4 linked regions of the Macaca fascicularis genome follow. The protein of the gene in region 1 purifies or fractionates together with the protein of each later gene. This does not show direct contact. Links are inferred from orthologs where the notes say so. Each region holds a gene or a part of one and is shown in the gene's direction. Other genes may lie near its edges.

Region 1 (4,755 bases):
CCAGTATTTTCAAAGACTTAGAGGAGATTTTTGTAAAGTGGCAATACATTATTTTAAAAAGGCTCATACTGTAAGGATGTGCTCTTTGATTTTAAAGTCTTTAAAGGCTGGAACTTTTTTTTTTTTTTTTTTTTTTTTTTGAGACGGAGTCTTGCTCTGTCACCCAGGCTGGAGTGCAGTGGCACGATCTCTGCTGACTGCAACATCCACCTCCCGGGTTCAAGCGATTCTGCTGCCCCAGCCTCCCGAATAGCTGGGATTACAGGCGCCCACCACCACACCCGGCTAATTTTTGTATTTTTAGTAGACACGGGGTTTCAGCATCTTGACCAGGCTGGTCTCAAACTCCTGACCTCGTGATCAACCTGCCTCGGCCTCCCAAAGTGCTGGGATTACAGGCGTGAGTCACTGTGTCCGGCCTTTAAAAATTTTTTTTAGGCAGGGTCTTGTTCCATAGATCAGGCAATGGTATGATCATGGTTCATTGCAGCCTCCACCTCCTGGGCTCAGGATATCCTTTCATCTTAGCTTCCTGAGCAGCTGGGCCTACAGGCGGGAGCCACCAGGCCCGGCTAACTTTTTGTATTTTTTTTTTTTCGTAGAGGCTGGAGTCTCACCATGTTGCCCAGGCTGGTCTTGAACTCCTGGGCTCAAAGCAATCCACCAGCCTGGTCTCCTAAAGTGCTCGAATTATGGACGAGAGCCGCTGCGTCCGACCAAACTGGGACTATCTTGTTTCCTTTTTACACCCTTCCTAAGTAGTGGGGAAGGGTGTAAACCTCCCTAGGAGGATGTAAGGTAGACTATGATTGCGCACACTTGGTAACCATACTTGCAGTGATCTTTGTGATTTATTGAATCATACCTAGGATGTACATATTAATTCATATTTGTGCTGAGCATATTCATTTATCAACTAAGAGACTACAGGAAAAAGCCATTGTTGTAATGATGAAAATGTCAACACTTTATCAGGTTCTGAACCCAAAGAGACTTTTGCTTATTATGTAAGAAGCACACCTGTGGCTCTAGGCCTTTGGAAGAAAATAAAAGAGAAAAGCAATCCGTGTACTTTTCCCCCCACCCCCGCCTTATGGTCAGGCTACAAAATTCTGGGTTTTCCCAGCTTCTTTTGGTCATGCTTTGTGGGGGCTACACTGGAGCTTTTACGTAGACTGTTCATTTTGTTCCTCAGCCTGAATTCTCTCTCGTTTTCTTTCTCTACGATTTTTAATTCCCCTCACTGTTCTGTTAGGAAACCAAAGGTCAAATGAGGTTAAGTAATTTGCTCAATTGGGATAAAGAGTGTTGGGAGTCCATAAAACAGTCGTGGGGCTATAGACAACAAGTGTTATTGCGCTATGATTTGATCTTCAACACATTCACGAGAAACTACAGTTCTCTAAACAACCTTAACTGCCGGCGACCCACAGAAAATGGCAGAAGCGCAGGCTCTTTTTTACCCTGTGGCTTATGATCTGGGCTTGTTTATTTATGCCTCGGACAGGAGCCGGACCTTGAGTAGGAGTTGAGCTGCTTTTCGGCGCTCGGCTGCGGTTCCTTGAACGATTGCTTGGGCGTTCCTCCTTTGATGTCTGGGGCGTTCTTGTATTCGGTGATCTTTTGCGCCGTCTTCTTGCTTGATGTCTCCTGAGCGGCGGCGGCGCCGGGTTGAGGACTGAGTTATCCGCGAGGCCCCGCGCTCAAGCCGCCTTCTCCTGCCGGTCGGTAGAACGGACCCTTTGCTTTATTCGTGCCTCCTCCTTCTTTTTCCCTGTGGCTCAGCTTGTCCGCTGGACTGCAAACCGAGCTCCCGTCTGTCTTGCAGGTAGGCCCAGGAGGAGCCTGGGAGGCCCAGCCCGGCATCCTTCCGCCGCGGGGTTGAGAAGACCTTGGCGCCGGCGGGTGGGCAGGCGGGCCGGCCGCCGTGACACTGCCAGAGGAGGGGCTACCGGACTGCGTTGAGGGGCGCGGCCGGAGGGGCAGCCCGGAACCGAGGGAGAAGCCGGAAGGAGGGAGAGATGCTGGGGCTTCCCGGTGTGGTTCTTTTGGGAGGAGATGTTGGGTCTAGGGCACCCCCAGTGTGTGGGGAAAATGGCTTTCCAGGAACCGACAGAGCTTTGCGCACTTTGACCTTCCTTCCTTTATCCTTTCCCCCCACCCCGAAGTCTCCGGGTGTCATGCCTCAGTTGAACTGGGGACCCCTACTGAGTCCAGCGTTTGAAGGGACCTTTGAGTAGGTGGAGGCGTATGGAACAAGGTCCTCTGGCTCCTCGGAGCGAAGTGTCATGTTCTCGCCTTTTTTGGGTGGGGAAACTGAGGCTGATGTCTGGGACGTGACTTCCCCCCATATCCCCAACAGATCATTAAATGCACTGTAAGTCACTTTTTGTCATTTACCAGTTCCCTTTCCCCCAGTTACCAGTCAAATTATGAAAACAGTGAGTTGTTGTTTGATCGCCTGTGATCCCTCTTTTCCTAGGAATATAGACTGTTAGGAATACAAATCGTGTCACTAGAGGCTTCAGAAGTAAAGGAACCATGTGGTTTCTTGGCTGTTTAGCTTTTCAAAGTCTGTATCATTTTAGCTAGTGTAGCAATGACAGTTTCTTTTTGTTTCTTGATAACCTTGTTGCCTACTTTGTTTCCTGATAACCTTGTTGTCTACATTGTTTCCTGGTTGGTTTATCCTCCTTCTCCCCAGCCTCTTTGGAAATCTTAACAACTATGGTGTTTGTGGTTAGTCTAGTAGAGGATGGTCAAGACTTTGAAGGCAAACGCTTGTCCTGTATGAGGGTCTGCTTTCTGGGGAGTATCCAAAGGAAACCCAAGGAGTCTCTCTCTCTCTCTCTTTTTTTTTTTAAGACAGTCTCGCTCTGTCGCCCAAACTGGAGTGCAGTGGCGCAATCTTGGCTTACTGCAACCTCTGCCTCCCGGGTTCAAGCGATTCCCCTGCCTCTGTCTCCTGACTAGCTGGAACTACAGGCGCGCGCCACCACACTCGGCTAATTTTTGTATTTGTAGTAAAGTGGGGTTTCATCACGTTGGCCAGGCTGGTCTTGAACTCCTGGGTTCAAGTGATTCGCTCACCTCGGCCTCTCAAAGTGCTGGAATTACAGGCATGAGCCACCGCGCCCGCCCAGTTTTGTTATATTTGATTACTAGTTTGGTCACTGCACATACAAAAGCTAAAAAAGGCTGTATGTAGAAATCATTCAAATATTGAGATATTTAAATGAAACTCCTTTGTGGTTCTCTTTTCCTTCCCAACTTGGAAAGGTTGGGGACTAAGTCTCTCATTTTCATCGGATTCAGTGTCATGATCCTAATTTGTGTCACTTCTTTGTTGGGGGAAAAAAAATATCAGCCTGCCGGGTGCAGTGGCTCACACCTGTAATCCCAGCATTTTGGGAGGGCAAGGCGGGTGGATCACCTGAGGTTGGGAGTTCGAGACCAGCCTGACCAATGTGGAGAAACCTAAAAATACAAAATTAGCCGGGCGTGGTGGTGCATGCCTGTAATCCCAGCTACTCGGGAGGGTAAGGCAGGAGAATCACTTGAATCCAGGAGGCAGAAGTTGCCATGAGCGAGATCACATCATTGCACTCCAGCCTGGGCAACAAGAGCCAAACTCTGTATCAAAAAAAAAAAAAAAAAAAAAAAAAAAAAAAAAAAAATCAGTCTTGAGGTCATTCTGGGTTGGATAAGTTTCCAAAGTATGTAGAATCAGTAGGAGGGTGTTTTTTGTTTGTTTGTTTGTTTGTTTGTTTTGAGACAGAGTCTTGCTTTGCCCCCCGGGCTGGAGTGCAGTGGCGCTATCTCAGCTCACTACGACCTCCTCCGCCTCCCAGGTTCAAGCAGTTCTCTGCCTCAGCATCCCGAGTAGCTGGGATTACAGGCACCACCACCACACCTGGCTAATTTTTTGTATTTTTAGTAGAGATGGGGTTTCACCATCTTGGCCAGGCTGGTCTTGAACCCCTGACCTCGTGATCCACCTGCTTTGGCCTCCCAAAGTGCTGGGATTACAGGCATGAGCCACCGCGCCCGGCCAAGAGAGTGGTTTTAAGGGTATAGAGATTCAGTTCCTAGTCCTTGAGTGGAGACTGTACAAGGCTACATTCTCCCACTATTTTAGTATTCTTGTATAAGTTTTGGAAAGATTACTGTTCCTTTAATTTTTTGTGTGAGGTCAGCAAGATTTAAATGAATGGCCCTTAATCATGAGCAATTTCCTAGTTACACGACCTCAGTGCTCCCAGAAAGGGATTAATGAAGAGCCACCAGACTATCTTTATGGAGAATCTAGATTGGGGATAAGCTAAGAATGTGCATTTTTGAAAAAGTTTTTATGGTAGAAGAGAATGTATATCAGATAAAAGAATGTAGAGAAGAAAGCAACATTGTCCACTGGGAATTGATAAGTTCTGTGTAGAATTTAGAGTTATAAAGAATATCTCATTGACTCCTAATGAATGCTAAATAACAAATGGAAATTGCTGTGAGTGTCTTGAAGCAATCTTAGGAATATTTTATTATGTTTCTGCAGGAAATAATTGGCAGAGGCTTAAGGTGAATTGAGGTCAAGAAATTTGGTGGTGTTGATGGGAGGTTACAGGGATAGAGCTTATCAACTTAATCAACTTATCCCATGCTTTGTGATAGAAGTTCACTCAGCTTTTTTTCTTTTTCTTTTTTTTTTTTTTTTTTTTTTTGAGATGGAGTCTTGCTCTGTCGCCCAGGTTGGAGTGCAGT
Region 2 (4,687 bases), on another chromosome or scaffold:
CAATTCTTGTGTCTCAGCATCCCAAGTAGCTGGGATTACAGGTGTGTGCACACCCGCTAATTTTTGTATTTTTAGTGGAAACAGGGTTTCACCATGTGGGCCAGGCTGGAATCGAACTCCAGGCTTCAAGTGATCGACCCACCTCGGCCTCCCAGAGTGCTGGGATTACAGGCGTGAGCCACCACACCCGGCTAGTCACATGGCTTTCTCTTAGCCCCATCACGTCCTGCTTTTTCAGATTGCTGGGTTTAACTTCCCAGCTCCCTCTTACTAGGTCTGTCACATTAAGCAGGTAACTTAGGTGACTCTGTTTCTGTAAAATGGGAATGTTAGGATAATACATAATACACAGGATAATACATAATAATGTGGGATAATACGTGAAAAACCTTTAGCATAGTACCCAGAACATAACACTCAATAAATGTTAGCTGTTATGTCTGTGATGTAGACCATATTCTCACAACTTTTTATAGAGTTCAAAAACAAGCTTGGAGATGAGAAGTTGCCCAAGGTCACATAACTGATGGAACACCTATTGTTCACCGTATTGCTGTTTTCCTACTTGACGGTAGGGAGCATGTTATTGCAGATCTCCTGTTCCCAAACAGTGTGTGGCACCGAATGCTCAATGTTTCATGAGATCATATGGTCAAAGATCTGGAAAAATCTGAATAAACTGAACCTGGAAAAAGAGACGGGGGAGAAGGAAAGTGTCAGGAAAGTTGACTTAAAATATTTTTGGAGTTGTGTAGAAGAGGGAGGGACTTAGGATGGCTCTGGGAGAAAGAACTGGAACCAGGGACTGAGATGACAGGAGGCGGACATTTAGGCTGTCTATATTACTTTTTTTTTTTTTTTTTTTTGAGACAAAGTCTTGCTCTGTCATCCAGGCTGGAGTGTAGTGGCGCGATCTCGGGTCGCTACAACCTCCTCCTTCCATTCAATTGATTCTCCAGCCTCAGCCTCTCAAGTAGCTGGGATTACAGGTGCCTGCCACCACGCCTGGATAATTTTTGTATTTTTATAGAGACGCGGTTTCACCAGTTGGCCAGGCTGGTCTCAAACGCCTGACCTCAGGTGATCCGCCCACCTCGGCCTCCTAACATGCTGAGATTACAGGCGTAAGCCACCTTGTCCGGCCATATTATCTTTACTATACTATCTTTCTAAAAAAGAATGCTGTCCAACGTTGAAAGGTGAAAGAAGGTGTACACTGGGAATGCTTCCCCAATCACCCTCTTGTCACAGACCTGAGGTCAAGATGAGACTGGACGACCTCTGAACCTCGAAGTTGTATGGGGACCGGACCAGGGAGGCAGAGGAGGGTAAAGAGACCCGAGAGGCCGTACTGTCAGTGATGCCCTTGTTCCCGTGGGAGCCCTTCGGTTCCACGCAGTTCCCACCACGCGCCCGCCAATCCCAGCCCGAAGCCTCACTTAGCAGGCCTTCCCCGAAAGCGGGAAGCCTTGGCCGCTAGACTAGCCAAGCTGGCAAGCAAAGGCGGGGGAAACTCAGCCGGGCCGGAAACACAGAGAACTGCTTCCGGGTCAGGGGGAAGGAGCCACCATGGAGCTTCGCGGGGTTGCTGGGCTGACGGTTCCGCGGGCCGGCATCTGAAGCGAGCGGGACGCAGCGCGGCTAGCGCCTCCGGCCATACGCAGGCCGGTCCCGAAGGCCCGCGGTCGCCGCCATGTCGGTGCTGGGCGAGTACGAACGACACTGCGATTCCATCAACTCGGACTTTGGGAGCGAGTCCGGGGGTTGCGGGGACTCGAGTCCGGGGCCTAGCGCTAGTCAGGGGCCGCGAGCCGGCGGCGGCGCGGCGGAGCAGGAGGAGCTGCACTACATCCCTATCCGCGTCCTGGGCCGCGGCGCCTTCGGGGAAGCCACGCTGTACCGCCGCACCGAGGTAGCGGCCCTCGGCACCTGCCGTCCTGTCTGGCGCTGTCGGGTCGCCCCGAGTCCTTTCTTCCCGGCCCCGCTTTCTCAGCGTCGTGAGCTTAGTGCTTTAGGCGCCCACAGGATATATGTGTCAGGGTCTTCACCGCTCTTCCCACTCATCGGCACTAGAAATTGGCAAGATCATTGGTTTGACTAGTCATTTTTGATTGGCCTAAGTCACCTAACCGTCTCTGAGCTTTAGCATCCCCATCTGTAAAATGGGCTTACTGATAATACCTTGAAATCATCCTTTTTTTTTTTTAAGATTATCTTGAGAATGAAACGAAGGCGCTTGTTCTGTAAATTAAAGTGGTATACGAATGTGAGGTATTGCCAAAACTTCCTTCCCCTCATGCTGTATATATAGTTCTCCAAGGTCGGGGTGAGGAGGACGGGCATAGCTTCAAAATCCCCACACCGGTGGCACCTCCGTAGTTTGTGTCATTATCTTTAAGTTCAGCTGTGATCACTCAGTTGGAAGCTTTTCTTGAAGCTCATTGGGAAGATCTTTGTGTGTTGGTTCTTTATCAGTGTTTATCCTACAGGGTTTATGCATGGGAAGTACTCTGTTGGTATATTCTAAGCCATTAGTTCTTAATTTGGGGGGCACAAGGACCCCTTTGAGAACCTAACATAAGCAAAGTAATCTTACCCCCTCCATCAACACATTTGCACATAGGCACATCCTTTGGAGAGATCCATGGATCACGGAATCCCAAGTTAAGAATATATACTAGTGTAAAACCCTGCAGTGATGATTCTACTTCCAAAAACTAACGATATACTGGTTTTGATCATAAAATCTTACTTTAGGGTAAACATTTAATGAGAACTTGCTGGGGTTGCCGAAAGTGATCCATCCATCTGCAGTTCTGGTGTGTGTTCCAAGCCAGCATACTTTTAAGGCTGAAAGATGGAGAAGGAGAGAAGTGGTTGCAAGAAAATATTTTTAAGTGTTCTTTTTTATCCTGAAGCCACGTTAATGTATGATGTTAGGGTTATTCTTAGTAGTCTGTTTTCTTTTTTGCACTCAAATGAGAAAGAGGAGATAAGGATTGTTATTTCTATATTTTAGTTAGAGAAACTAAGACAGTATACTTAAGTCACTTGCTCACTTAAGTTATAAGTAAATCTTGGACTAGAACTAAAGTCTCACATCTTGCCCATTGCCTTTTTATTATTATCCTGTTGAACTTGATTACTGGATTTGTTTTGAGTTAAATTTGATTACACTTCTCAAAAATTGCATAGCGTTATCCATATCACCAAATATTTATTAGGTCTGTGAATTTACAGAAGTTCAGAAGCACTCTTTTCCTCTAGAAGCTTATATTTCAATAGGAAAAGTTGGCCATTGTTAGTAAACACATAGCATTAAGTTGTATATGTAGAGATATGAAAAGAATGGACAAATATTTCAGTGTATGGGGTCTAAAAATTAAAGGCATGGTTACAGTAAAAGGTTCATCAGAGTCTTTTCAAAAACATTGTAAAGGCTTGGCAGAGGCATTCAAAAGGATGGGGAGGGTTACATTGGTGGAGATGCTCCTGGGCTGGGAAGCAGTGTCAGCAAAAAATGAGGCCAGGCACAGTGGCTCATGCCTGTAATCCCAACACCTGGGAGGCCAAGGTGGTCAGGTCGCTTGAGGCCAGGAGTTCTAGACCAGCCTGGGCAACACAGTGATACTCCATCTCTTAAAAAAAAAAAAAAAAAAAAAAAAAATTTAGCTGAGTGTGGCAGTGCAATGCCTGTAGTCCTAACTACTGGGGAAGCTGAGGTAGGAGGATTGCTTCAGCCCAGGAGTTCAGAGCAGAAATGAGCTATGACTGCACTCTATCTCAAAAAAAAAAAAAGATGGTAGACATCAGGAGCTACAGGTAAGTTTTCAGGAATGGAAGAAAATGTGATACATAAAAGTGTGAGAGATTATAGAGTTGCAAAAGGGGGCATGACTTATCCAGAAAGGGTAAGTCTAAATTTATAAAACTAGGGAAGTCTAAATTTATAAAACTAGAGGCAAGTTTAGTATTTTCATTTTAGAAGCTGTGACCAACTATAGATAATTGCTCCCCAGTTCTCTACCTCTCAAGTATTCTTGCCCTGCCATAATCACCATCATGATTAGCAGTCTGTCATAGTATCCTCAATAGAATCTTTTTGAGACCTATGCCCAGCCCATATTTTTACCTGGAACTGACATCATGCAAATTGAGTGTGACGACGACGTCGTAATGCTTTACTTCCCCTGTCCTGTGATAAATTATAATGCTAAATTGTACACATAACCTTTGAAGTCTGTTAAAAGGAAAAAATAAGAGGAGTCAGTCTCTGCTCCTCTTAGGTAGTTTTGCTTCTAGGCTTACAAATCTAGGTGTGGATTCATTTGCTGCCAGGCAAGAGGAAAAGCACGATACCTCTGTTACTGTGTTTAGGATGACTCACTGGTTGTGTGGAAGGAAGTTGATTTGACCCGGCTGTCTGAGAAGGAACGTCGTGATGCCTTGAATGAGATTGTTATTCTGGCACTGCTGCAGCATGACAACATTATTGCCTACTACAATCACTTCATGGACAATACCACCCTGCTGATTGAGCTGGAATATTGTAATGGTAAGATAGAGTTCAGTGGGACCTTCTCCAGCAAGACTTTCATAGACTCATAGTTACCTTGAGGAGAAGAATATAAGAAGAGACATATACAGTGATAAAAACTTTAAATGAATGTCTCGAGTTTAAGAGAAA
Region 3 (4,500 bases), on another chromosome or scaffold:
AGACTCCGTCTCAAAAAAAAAAAAAAAAAAAAAAAAAGAACGGGGAATATTTATGAGGTTCTCACTGCATTCCAGGCACTGGAGACCCAATGCAGACAGGACCTGGCCCCTGCTCAGGTGGCGATCTCAGACTGGGAGGGAGGACACATTGAAAGCCAAGAAACAAAATAAATTTCTAATTTAGCAGCAAGTGCTCTTGAAAGGGCAGTAAAGTGAAAAAGGCGGGACTGAGAGGACCTCGGGAGGTGAGCTTTCGCCCAGATCCTCACCTCGCTTTAGGAAGGGAGAACAGAGGCAGTCTTCTGTCCCAACATCCTTCTCCCCACAGTTGGGAAAATAGCGCTGGTGGATTCTTTGTTTGTTCATTTTGTTTTATTTTACTTATTTATTTATTTTATTTTGAGACGGAGTCTCGCTCTGTCGCCCAAGCTGGAGTGCAGTGCCCCGATCTCGGCCCACTGCAACCTCCGCCTCCCCGATTCAAGCTATTCTCAGGCCTCAGCCTCCTGAGTAGCTGGGATTACAGGTGCGTGCCACCACGCCCGGGTAATTTTTGTATTTTTAGCAGAGACGGGATTTCACCATGTTGGCTAGGCTGGTCTCGAACTCCTGACCTCAAGTGATCCGCCCACTTCGGCCTCCCAAAATGCTGGGATTACAGGCGTGAGCCCCCGCGCCCGGCCTGTTTGTTTATTTTAAAAAGAAACGGAGTCTGCTTATGTTGCCTAGGCTGGTCTCAAACTCCTAGGCCCGAGAGATTCTCCTGTCTTGGCCTCAGGAAGTGATGGAAATTACAGTCGTGAGGCTCCGTGTCAGGTTCTCTTATTGCCATATTGTAGAAAGAAAGAGACCCCTGGGTTAAGCAGACGCGGGTTAGGTTGTTCGTCCGGCGTCACCCGGCGGAGGCCCACCGCAGGTCCCGCGAGACAAGGGCTGGAAGGTTTATCACCTCCTGGGGAAAAGACAGGCTAGTCCCAGGCCCCACCCCTTCCCGGAACATCACCTTCGCGACGGCTCCTGACCCACTGACCCAGGCGGAGGGCGGGACGCAGGGTCGCTGGGGCGGTGCAGAGTGTGAAAGAAGCTCGCGATTGGCTCGTCCCGGAAGGTGGGCGGGGCCTCCTCCGACCTGTGCGCGCGCCGCCGGGAGGCGTTGTCGAGGGCGGAGCGGGAGGGGGCGTGGCCCCGCGCCGGCGGCCGTTGACGGCAAAGCGCCGCCCCGGATGTCGCGTGTCACGGAAAGGGTGGCGGCGATTGGCCGGCGCCGCGGGCGGGGGGGCGGGGCGGAAGGTTCTGGAGGGGGCTGGCGGGCTCTGGAAGCTTCCGCCGGACGGGTATATAGAGTCCGGGACCGGGCGGCGGCGTAGCCGGGGGACGGCGACAGCGGGTCGGCGGGCCGCAGCGGGGGGCCATGGGCAAAGACTACTATCAGACGCTGGGCCTGGCCCGCGGCGCGTCGGATGAGGAGATCAAGCGGGCCTACCGCCGCCAGGCGCTGCGCTACCACCCGGACAAGAACAAGGAGCCCGGCGCCGAGGAGAAGTTCAAGGAGATCGCCGAGGCCTACGACGTGCTCAGCGACCCGCGCAAGCGCGAGATCTTCGACCGCTACGGAGAGGAAGGTGTGTGCGCGCGGCCAGGGGCGCGGTCCCGCCGTTTGACAGGGAAACCGAGGCATACCGGCCCCTCTCGGCGGCCCCCCGGGAAGGACGCCCCGGGCCCGGGGGCCGAGCTGCCCCGCCCTCCGGCCGCTCGGGCCTCCGCCCTTGGATTGGCGGCCGTGCGGTGCGGGGAGGAGCCTTGGCCCAGCCGCTCGCCCAGAAGCTTCTAGCATGTCTAGGGCTGCCCCTCCCCGGGCGCCTCTTCCCGCGGCCCCGAGCAGCCCCGGGGTGCGGTGCAGGGGGGTGGGGGAGCCGGGGGTGACGACGGGAACGGCACGGCGGAGCCTGCTGCGGACCCGAGCTCACCTGGGCTTAGCCGCCGGGGTCCGCAGGGCGGCGCCTGCGGCTCAGCTGCGGGGCGCGGGGCTGTAAATGCAGGCGCCGATCCCGCTCGCGGGCCTTGGGGCTGGGCTGGGATGATTTCCGGGAAGTGATGACCTGGTCCCGGCCGAGCACGCAGGAGGCAGCGGCCGCCTAGGTGCGGAGAGCTGGGCCGCCTGGGGGTTTGGGGGGACGGAGAGTGGGGCTTTTTGTCCCTGTGCCCCTTGATGACTCAGGCTGGCTTCTGGGCTTGATCTGGGACTGACTTATTATGCAAGGATGGTGGCAGTGAATGCTAGTGTGAGGGTTTAAAAACTCTACATCTTTTTTTTTTCCTTATTTTCACTTTTCGTACACATCAGTAGTCCTAAAATGTTGAAAGTAAATACCGAAAGCCGACCCTGGACCGTGTGTGTTTAGCCATCCCTTGGTGACATTGCCAGGAGGATGGGTCAGTCCAGGAGTGGCAGGGCCCAGGTGGCACCTGTAGGTGGACACCTAACCGCATGAGTCCTTTTCCATTGTCAGGCTATGCGGAAGTACTTGGGGGGGGGGGCAGCTCTGCTGCTGCAGTGAGGGGTAGAAGCTTGGGGTTCTTCCTTGCTCTCCCCTGGCAGGCTAAAAAAAGTTCCTCCCCCATGGCCTCCAAGCTTTTTTCCCCCGTAAGGGAAGCTCGAGAGGGAGTCTGCTGTTCAGCCATCTGACTGCTTCTAATTCTGCTTTTCAGGCCTAAAGGGCAGTGGCCCCAGTGGCGGTAGCGGCAGTGGTGCCAATGGTACCTCTTTCAGCTACACGTTCCATGGAGACCCTCATGCCATGTTTGCTGAGTTCTTCGGTGGCAGAAATCCCTTTGACACCTTTTTTGGGCAGCGGAACGGGGAGGAAGGCATGGACATTGATGACCCGTTCTCTGGCTTCCCTATGGGCATGGGTGGCTTCACCAACGTGAACTTTGGCCGCTCCCGCCCTTCCCAAGAGCCCACCCGAAAGAAGCAAGATCCCCCAGTCACCCACGACCTTCGAGTCTCCCTTGAAGAGATCTACAGCGGTTGTACCAAGAAGATGAAAATCTCCCACAAGCGGCTAAACCCCGACGGAAAGAGCATTCGAAACGAAGACAAAATCTTGACCATCGAAGTGAAGAAGGGGTGGAAAGAAGGGACCAAAATCACCTTCCCCAAGGAAGGAGACCAGACCTCCAACAACATTCCAGCTGATATCGTCTTTGTTTTAAAGGACAAGCCACACAATATCTTTAAGAGAGATGGCTCTGATGTGATTTATCCTGCCAGGATCAGCCTCCGGGAGGTAAGGTGCCAGGTGGGGCGGTGTCTGCAGAGCGCGATGGCTGCTCTTTGAAGCAGTTTATTTAGGTTTTGCTGAACACGCATTGGGTGTGTGGCGCTTGCCAGGCTTGGGGCACCACAGTGAACAGGACTGATCAGGGTGCTGTTCTGGAGCTTTCATGGTGGAGACATGTCGATTTGGGGGCCAGGTGTTGGCTGCAGAGGCCTGATGAGTCTTACTCTATGCCAGATGGTCTCCGGGCAAGAGCTGAGCCTCTTGAGCCAGCTTCCATCTAATGCTTATCCCTTTGCTTTTCAAGGCTCTGTGTGGCTGCACAGTGAACGTCCCCACTCTGGACGGCAGGACCATACCCGTCGTATTCAAAGATGTCATCAGGCCTGGCATGCGCCGAAAAGTTCCTGGAGAAGGCCTCCCCCTCCCCAAAACGCCCGAGAAACGTGGGGACCTCATTATTGAATTTGAAGTGATCTTCCCCGAAAGGATTCCCCAGACATCAAGAACCGTACTTGAGCAGGTCCTTCCAATATAGCTGCCAGAGCTCCGACTGACCAGGGACCTTTCCAGAGCTCAAGGATTTCTGGACCTTTCTACCAATTGTGGACCATGGGAGGGCCCAGGGAGGACTTTCATACTGCTGAATGTTTTCCAGAGCATATATTACAATCTTTCAAAGTCGTACACTAGACTAAAGTGGTTTTTCGAGCGATAGGGCATCAGGTGGTGGGAACAGCAGGAAAAGGCATTCCAGTCTGCCCCACTGGGTCCGGCAGCCCTCCCGGGATGGGCCCACATCCTCCTCCTCCAGTCCCTGTCCAGGGGTAGAGGCAGACCAGCAGCTGGACTTGATCCCTCTGTGTCCCTTTGCTTTTGACTGGTAGATAATGTCGACCTGCTGTCTTGGTTCCCAGACCCTGTACACTCCTCTGTTTTCTGTTGTGTGATCAGTTCGTGGTTTATTCTGTATTTGTCTCCCATGTCTTGCTCTTCCCCTGGAGAATTCTGTCCTCTCTTTGGCCATCTCAAATTGAGAACCTAAACTATTCCTGCAGAACTGCCTGGCTGGCGCCCACAAGCAATACCTCTTGTTCCAGCAGGACCAAGGGAACCAGCCTCCAGCGAGTGACTCCAGCAAGCGCAGCCACCTCTGCCTTGAGTGTCCGGGAGCCTGGCCCCAGCAAGGGCCCTCCTGACCTCTGGCTCTAGTGAAGCT
Region 4 (4,507 bases), on another chromosome or scaffold:
GTAGTACCTGAGGGTGTACTGTGGGGCCGGCAGGCCGGGCACTGTGACCACTGCCTCATCTGACATGAAGGCCTCCATCTCGAGCTCCAGGCACCAGGACTGCTGTGAGCAGCGAGGAGAAGCAGCCAGACACCCCATCAGGACAAGCTCTGGCTCCGACTCCTGGTCCTAGAGACACACAAGGGCCCAGACTGTCTGCTTCACAGACAAGGACGCTTATGTACCCAAGTCGTGCCCACCCAACTCACCTGAGGCTGTGACTGTGGTGGGTCCACACCGCAGAGGGCAGACAGCTGGGTGACCGCGGCCCCCACATCTGGCAGGAGGCAGAAGGTGGTGGTCGAACAGTGCACAGCCAGCTCAGGGGGATTGGTGGTCACCAGATGCTGTGAGAAGCCAGGTCAGGGTGCCCGGCGTGGTGGACCCACAGGGAGGCCCCGCCCCCACGAAGACCCGCTCTGGAGGCCCCGCCCCGCCGATGCCACGCCCCGATGAAGACCCGCCCTACGGAGGCCCCGCCCTCGAGGCGGGCCGCACCTCGCCGCCAGCTTCCAGGCCAGCAGCCGCTCCAGCTCCCTGTCACATGCTCTCCGCTCTGCCCCTGATGGCCGCTGGCAACTCCTCCCGATACCTGGGGAAGGGCGGTGAGGGGAGGTCCGGCCACAGGGTACGCTCGCCCACCGATCCCTTTATCCCCTTCCACTCTACCAACGGCCCAGGGCTTCCAGCCGCACTCGGGGGTCCGCGCGCACCCGTAGGACCTCTCGATGGCGCTCCGGAATGGCGGCCCAGCGACTGCGGTCCTTACACCCAACAGCGCGGGAAGCCACTATGTTCACGCGGAGGGGCGGGGCCGGCTGCCGGGGGCGGGGCCGGCTGCTGGGGGCGGGGCTTCTGCGTAGGGGCTGGCTGCTGGGGGCGGGGCCTCTGGGTGGGGCGGCCTGTTGGGGGCGGGGCGTCTGCCGATGGGGCGGGCTGCTGGGGGCGGGGCTGGCTGCCGGGGGAAGGGCCTCTGGATGGGGCCCGCTGCTTGGGGAGGGGTCTCTGCGCGTTGCGGCGGGGGCGGAACGCCAGGTGGTCGGGACAGGCTGTTGGGGGAGTGCGCCCTCAGCGAACCAAGGCATCTCACTGGGAAAGTCGAATGTGTGTGGCGGTCGCCGCCGAGGCCGGTTCCGAAGAGGCCTCAGCAGGGCGGGCCAGGGCCTCCGCGAACGCCGACCCTTAAGAGCGCCGAGCGAGGGAACCGGAGTGTTCCTCCCAGCCCCCGACGCCGCGGGCCTAGCGTCCCCGTCCAGGCTGATTGGGCGCACGCGCGGCCCCACTCGCCCCCACCCGTGCGTCCCCGCTGGTCCCGCCCCCGGCCGGAAGTTCCGGCGGTGGAGCTGGGCCGGGCCCGAGAGGATCGCGGGTTCGGGCTGCGGGGCTCGGGCTGCAGGCGCTGGGCCGCCAGGCGCGGAGCTTGGGAGCGCAGCCCAGGCCGTGCCGCGCGGCGCCATGAAGGGCAAGGAGGAGAAGGAGGGCGGCGCGCGGCTGGGCGCTGGCGGCGGAAGCCCCGAGAAGAGCCCGAGTGCGCAGGAGCTCAAGGAGCAGGGCAACCGTCTGTTCGTGGGCCGAAAGTACCCGGAGGCGGCGGCCTGCTACGGCCGCGCGATCGTGAGTGCGCTCGCGCGGGAAGGGCGGCGGCGGCGGCGGCGGCGGCGGCGGCGGCGCCGGGGAGGGCCGGGCCCGTGCCCGGCTGGCCCCACCGAGGGTCTGGTTCCTCTGCGGGGCATGTCCTGGGCTCCTAAAGCCCAGCCGTGGTTCCCGAGCCCAGCGCCGGGTGTCGGAGAACGAGGGTGGGATGCTGGATGGAGGCCGGCCGGGTCGGGGGGAGGGCAGGGGCCCTCGCCCCTTGAGGCTCCCAGGTCCAAAGCCTGGACTCTCCAAAGATTTGGAAAACTTTACAAAACCAAGTGGAGTCAAGCGGATAGGCTCAGCCAGTACTCCACTGTCTGCAGATCCTTGGATCCAGGGGCTTTGACGACTGAGAAGCCTAGTTTCTTGATTCTAGCCAGAGCGCAGAAGCTGGGACGGGCCGTGGGACAGAGGGGGCGCGCTGAGCCTACACCCTCATGCGGCTGGCCCGGCCTTGGTCCCTAGACCCGGAACCCGCTGGTGGCCGTATATTACACCAACCGTGCCCTGTGCTACCTGAAGATGCAGCAGCACGAGCAGGCCCTGGCCGACTGCCGGCGCGCCCTGGAACTGGACGGGCAGTCTGTGAAGGCGCACTTCTTCCTGGGGCAGTGCCAGCTGGAGATGGAGAGCTATGATGAGGCCATCGCCAATCTGCAGCGAGGTTGGCTGACAAGCTGCCCGGTTGTGGGGCCCCTGGGGCCAGGCGGGTGGACTGGCCAGAGAGTGACCTGAAGCCCCCGTTCCCCAGCTTACAGCCTGGCCAAGGAGCAGCGGCTGAACTTCGGGGACGACATCCCCAGCGCTCTTCGAATCGCGAAGAAGAAGCGCTGGAATAGCATCGAGGAGCGGCGCATCCACCAGGAGAGCGAGCTGCACTCCTACCTCTCCAGGCTCATTGCCGCGGAGCGTGAGAGGTGGGACCCTCACCCCAGGTCGCCCTGTCTTGGGGTAATTCTGAATCACCAACTACCAACATGAGCGTTTATTGAAGGTTTTACTGGCGAGCAGAAAACGTGGGGAAGAAGCATGAATGTTAGCCCTGAGGTTGGGGTGTGGTCAGACATCTGGCCAGGTCCATCTCTTACTGGCTCCTGGTCAACCCCCAGGGAGCTGGAAGAGTGCCAGCGGAACCACGAGGGTGATGAGGACGACAGCCACGTCCGGGCCCAGCAGGCCTGCATTGAGGCTAAGCATGTGAGGGTGCCCCCCTCCCACATGTGGGTCTGTGTGTGTGCACCTGGCGTGGGAGCATCCCCGCCTTGTGTTGGGTCTGTGCCCCATGGAGGAGGGAGGTGGGGTGTCCCGCACAAGTGCAGTGCTCAACTCTTCACAGGACAAGTACATGGCAGACATGGACGAGCTCTTCTCTCAGGTGGACGAGAAGAGGAAGGTGAGTGTCTGTCACTTGCTGCGGTGGGTGGCAGGTGCTGGAGCAGTGCCCCTTCCCAGCCTCTGATCGTGTGCCCCTGTGCCACAGAAGCGTGACATCCCCGACTACCTGTGTGGTAAGATCAGCTTTGAGCTGATGCGGGAGCCGTGCATCACGCCCAGTGGCATCACCTACGACCGCAAGGACATCGAGGAGCACCTGCAGGTGAGGCTGCGGCTGGGGGAGCAGGGCCAGCAGCATGGTCCTGGGCCCACTGACTGCCCTCTGCCCTTCTTGTCACTGCAGCGCGTGGGTCATTTTGACCCCGTGACCCGGAGCCCCCTGACCCAGGAACAGCTCATCCCCAACCTGGCCATGAAGGAAGTCATTGACGCATTCATCTCTGAGAATGGCTGGGTGGAGGACTACTGAGATGCCTTGCCCTGCCCAGCATCCTGGTCCAGGAGAGCCCTGGGCGGAAGCCCTCCACCCCTGTACATAGTTTGTGTTGCTGGCCACCCTGGCCCCTTCCAAGTTCAAGTTCTGCTGTTGGGCTCTGGACTATTCCCCCTCTCAGCATAGCTCTTGCTGGGCCATGATTGTCCCCCTTTGTGGGCTGGAAAAGCAGGTGAGGGTGGGCTGGGCTGAAGCCACTGCCGACACTGTCTGTGTAATAAAATCCATGAGCACGAGATGGGACGTGCTGGTGTGTGGCAGGCATGCCTGCCAGCTGCTTTGGCTAGCCGAGGAAGGTGGAGATGAAGACGCTGGTGTCAAGGTTGAGTGTGGCATGCCACCAGCGGTCAGGGAAGTACAGCACCTGGTGGAGAAAAGGGGTGCAGCACAGATTAGCTGGGGGCCTCTGGCCTGGCCTGGCCCTCTCCTGCCAGCCACTGACCTCACCAGCCCGGATGGTACACTCCAGGGGCCGTGCAGACGGTGGCAGGGCTGGATATGTGTCCCGGAGCCAGGCCAGCGTGGTCTTGTTGGGGTGGAACTCTGGTGTCTTCTCAGGTGGGTAGAGGAACCAGCGCTGGGGGCAGGAGCAGCAGCGTCACCCTTGCCTGTTTTGGTCACCGAGCCCCAAGGCTCAACCCCAACCCTGTGCTGACCTTACGGCCGTAGATCACCTCCGAGTACCCGGGCCCATGCCAGTGGAAGGGCACCCCCGAGCCAGCTCCTGTGGGGTTATGAGCACCTGGTGACCAAGCCATTTTGTACCCACCCTCAGAAGCCTCACTCCTCCCCAGTCCTGAGCAGCGTTCACCTGCGATTCCAAAGCTGTAAGCTGGAGCGGTTCCCAGCAGGCCAAATGGGGGTGGGGAGTAGTGCCGAAAGAGAGAGGCCCACTCGGTGAAGTTGTTGTCCCCGAAGAAGTACAGGGTGTCTGCCAGTAGAGACGGTGGGGGCAGGGATCCTGGCACCTGGAAACTCCAGGCGTCCCCACCCCCTACCGCCACC

Evidence for each region. Proteins that work in one complex are often made in the same cells at the same time.
Region 2: the proteins of AMBRA1 (region 1) and NEK9 purify together in Homo sapiens (affinity purification with mass spectrometry; 3 studies listed by BioGRID and IntAct, with this or other methods). This does not show direct contact. The link is inferred for Macaca fascicularis from reciprocal best matches to the Homo sapiens genes AMBRA1 and NEK9.
Region 3: the proteins of AMBRA1 (region 1) and DNAJB1 purify together in Homo sapiens (affinity purification with mass spectrometry, with the first as the bait; 3 studies listed by BioGRID). This does not show direct contact. The link is inferred for Macaca fascicularis from reciprocal best matches to the Homo sapiens genes AMBRA1 and DNAJB1.
Region 4: the proteins of AMBRA1 (region 1) and STUB1 purify together in Homo sapiens (affinity purification with mass spectrometry, with the first as the bait; 3 studies listed by BioGRID). This does not show direct contact. The link is inferred for Macaca fascicularis from reciprocal best matches to the Homo sapiens genes AMBRA1 and STUB1.

What each region holds. Positions count from the first base shown.
Region 1 is NC_088388.1:19,259,259-19,264,013, forward strand, and holds the start of AMBRA1 (activating molecule in BECN1-regulated autophagy protein 1), read left to right. Parts: upstream 1-1,638; 5' UTR 1,639-1,724; exon of another isoform or gene 1,725-1,828; intron 1,829-1,883; exon of another isoform or gene 1,884-2,037; intron 2,038-4,755. UniProt on the Homo sapiens protein: Substrate-recognition component of a DCX (DDB1-CUL4-X-box) E3 ubiquitin-protein ligase complex involved in cell cycle control and autophagy.
Region 2 is NC_088381.1:143,073,862-143,078,548, reverse strand, and holds the start of NEK9 (serine/threonine-protein kinase Nek9), read left to right. Parts: upstream 1-1,552; 5' UTR 1,553-1,693; coding exon 1,694-1,912; exon of another isoform or gene 1,913-2,850; intron 2,851-4,377; coding exon 4,378-4,555; intron 4,556-4,687.
Region 3 is NC_088393.1:14,953,027-14,957,526, reverse strand, and holds the start of DNAJB1 (dnaJ homolog subfamily B member 1), read left to right. Parts: upstream 1-1,365; 5' UTR 1,366-1,411; coding exon 1,412-1,622; exon of another isoform or gene 1,623-2,139; intron 2,140-2,709; coding exon 2,710-3,290; intron 3,291-3,588; coding exon 3,589-3,819; 3' UTR 3,820-4,500. UniProt on the Homo sapiens protein: Interacts with HSP70 and can stimulate its ATPase activity. Stimulates the association between HSC70 and HIP. Negatively regulates heat shock-induced HSF1 transcriptional activity during the attenuation and recovery phase period of the heat shock response.
Region 4 is NC_088394.1:1,434,377-1,438,883, forward strand, and holds STUB1 (E3 ubiquitin-protein ligase CHIP), read left to right. Parts: upstream 1-1,372; 5' UTR 1,373-1,494; coding exon 1,495-1,653; intron 1,654-1,997; exon of another isoform or gene 1,998-2,139; coding exon 2,140-2,338; intron 2,339-2,425; coding exon 2,426-2,591; intron 2,592-2,644; exon of another isoform or gene 2,645-2,783; coding exon 2,784-2,871; exon of another isoform or gene 2,872-3,010; coding exon 3,011-3,067; exon of another isoform or gene 3,068-3,154; coding exon 3,155-3,478; 3' UTR 3,479-3,738; downstream 3,739-4,507. UniProt on the Homo sapiens protein: E3 ubiquitin-protein ligase which targets misfolded chaperone substrates towards proteasomal degradation.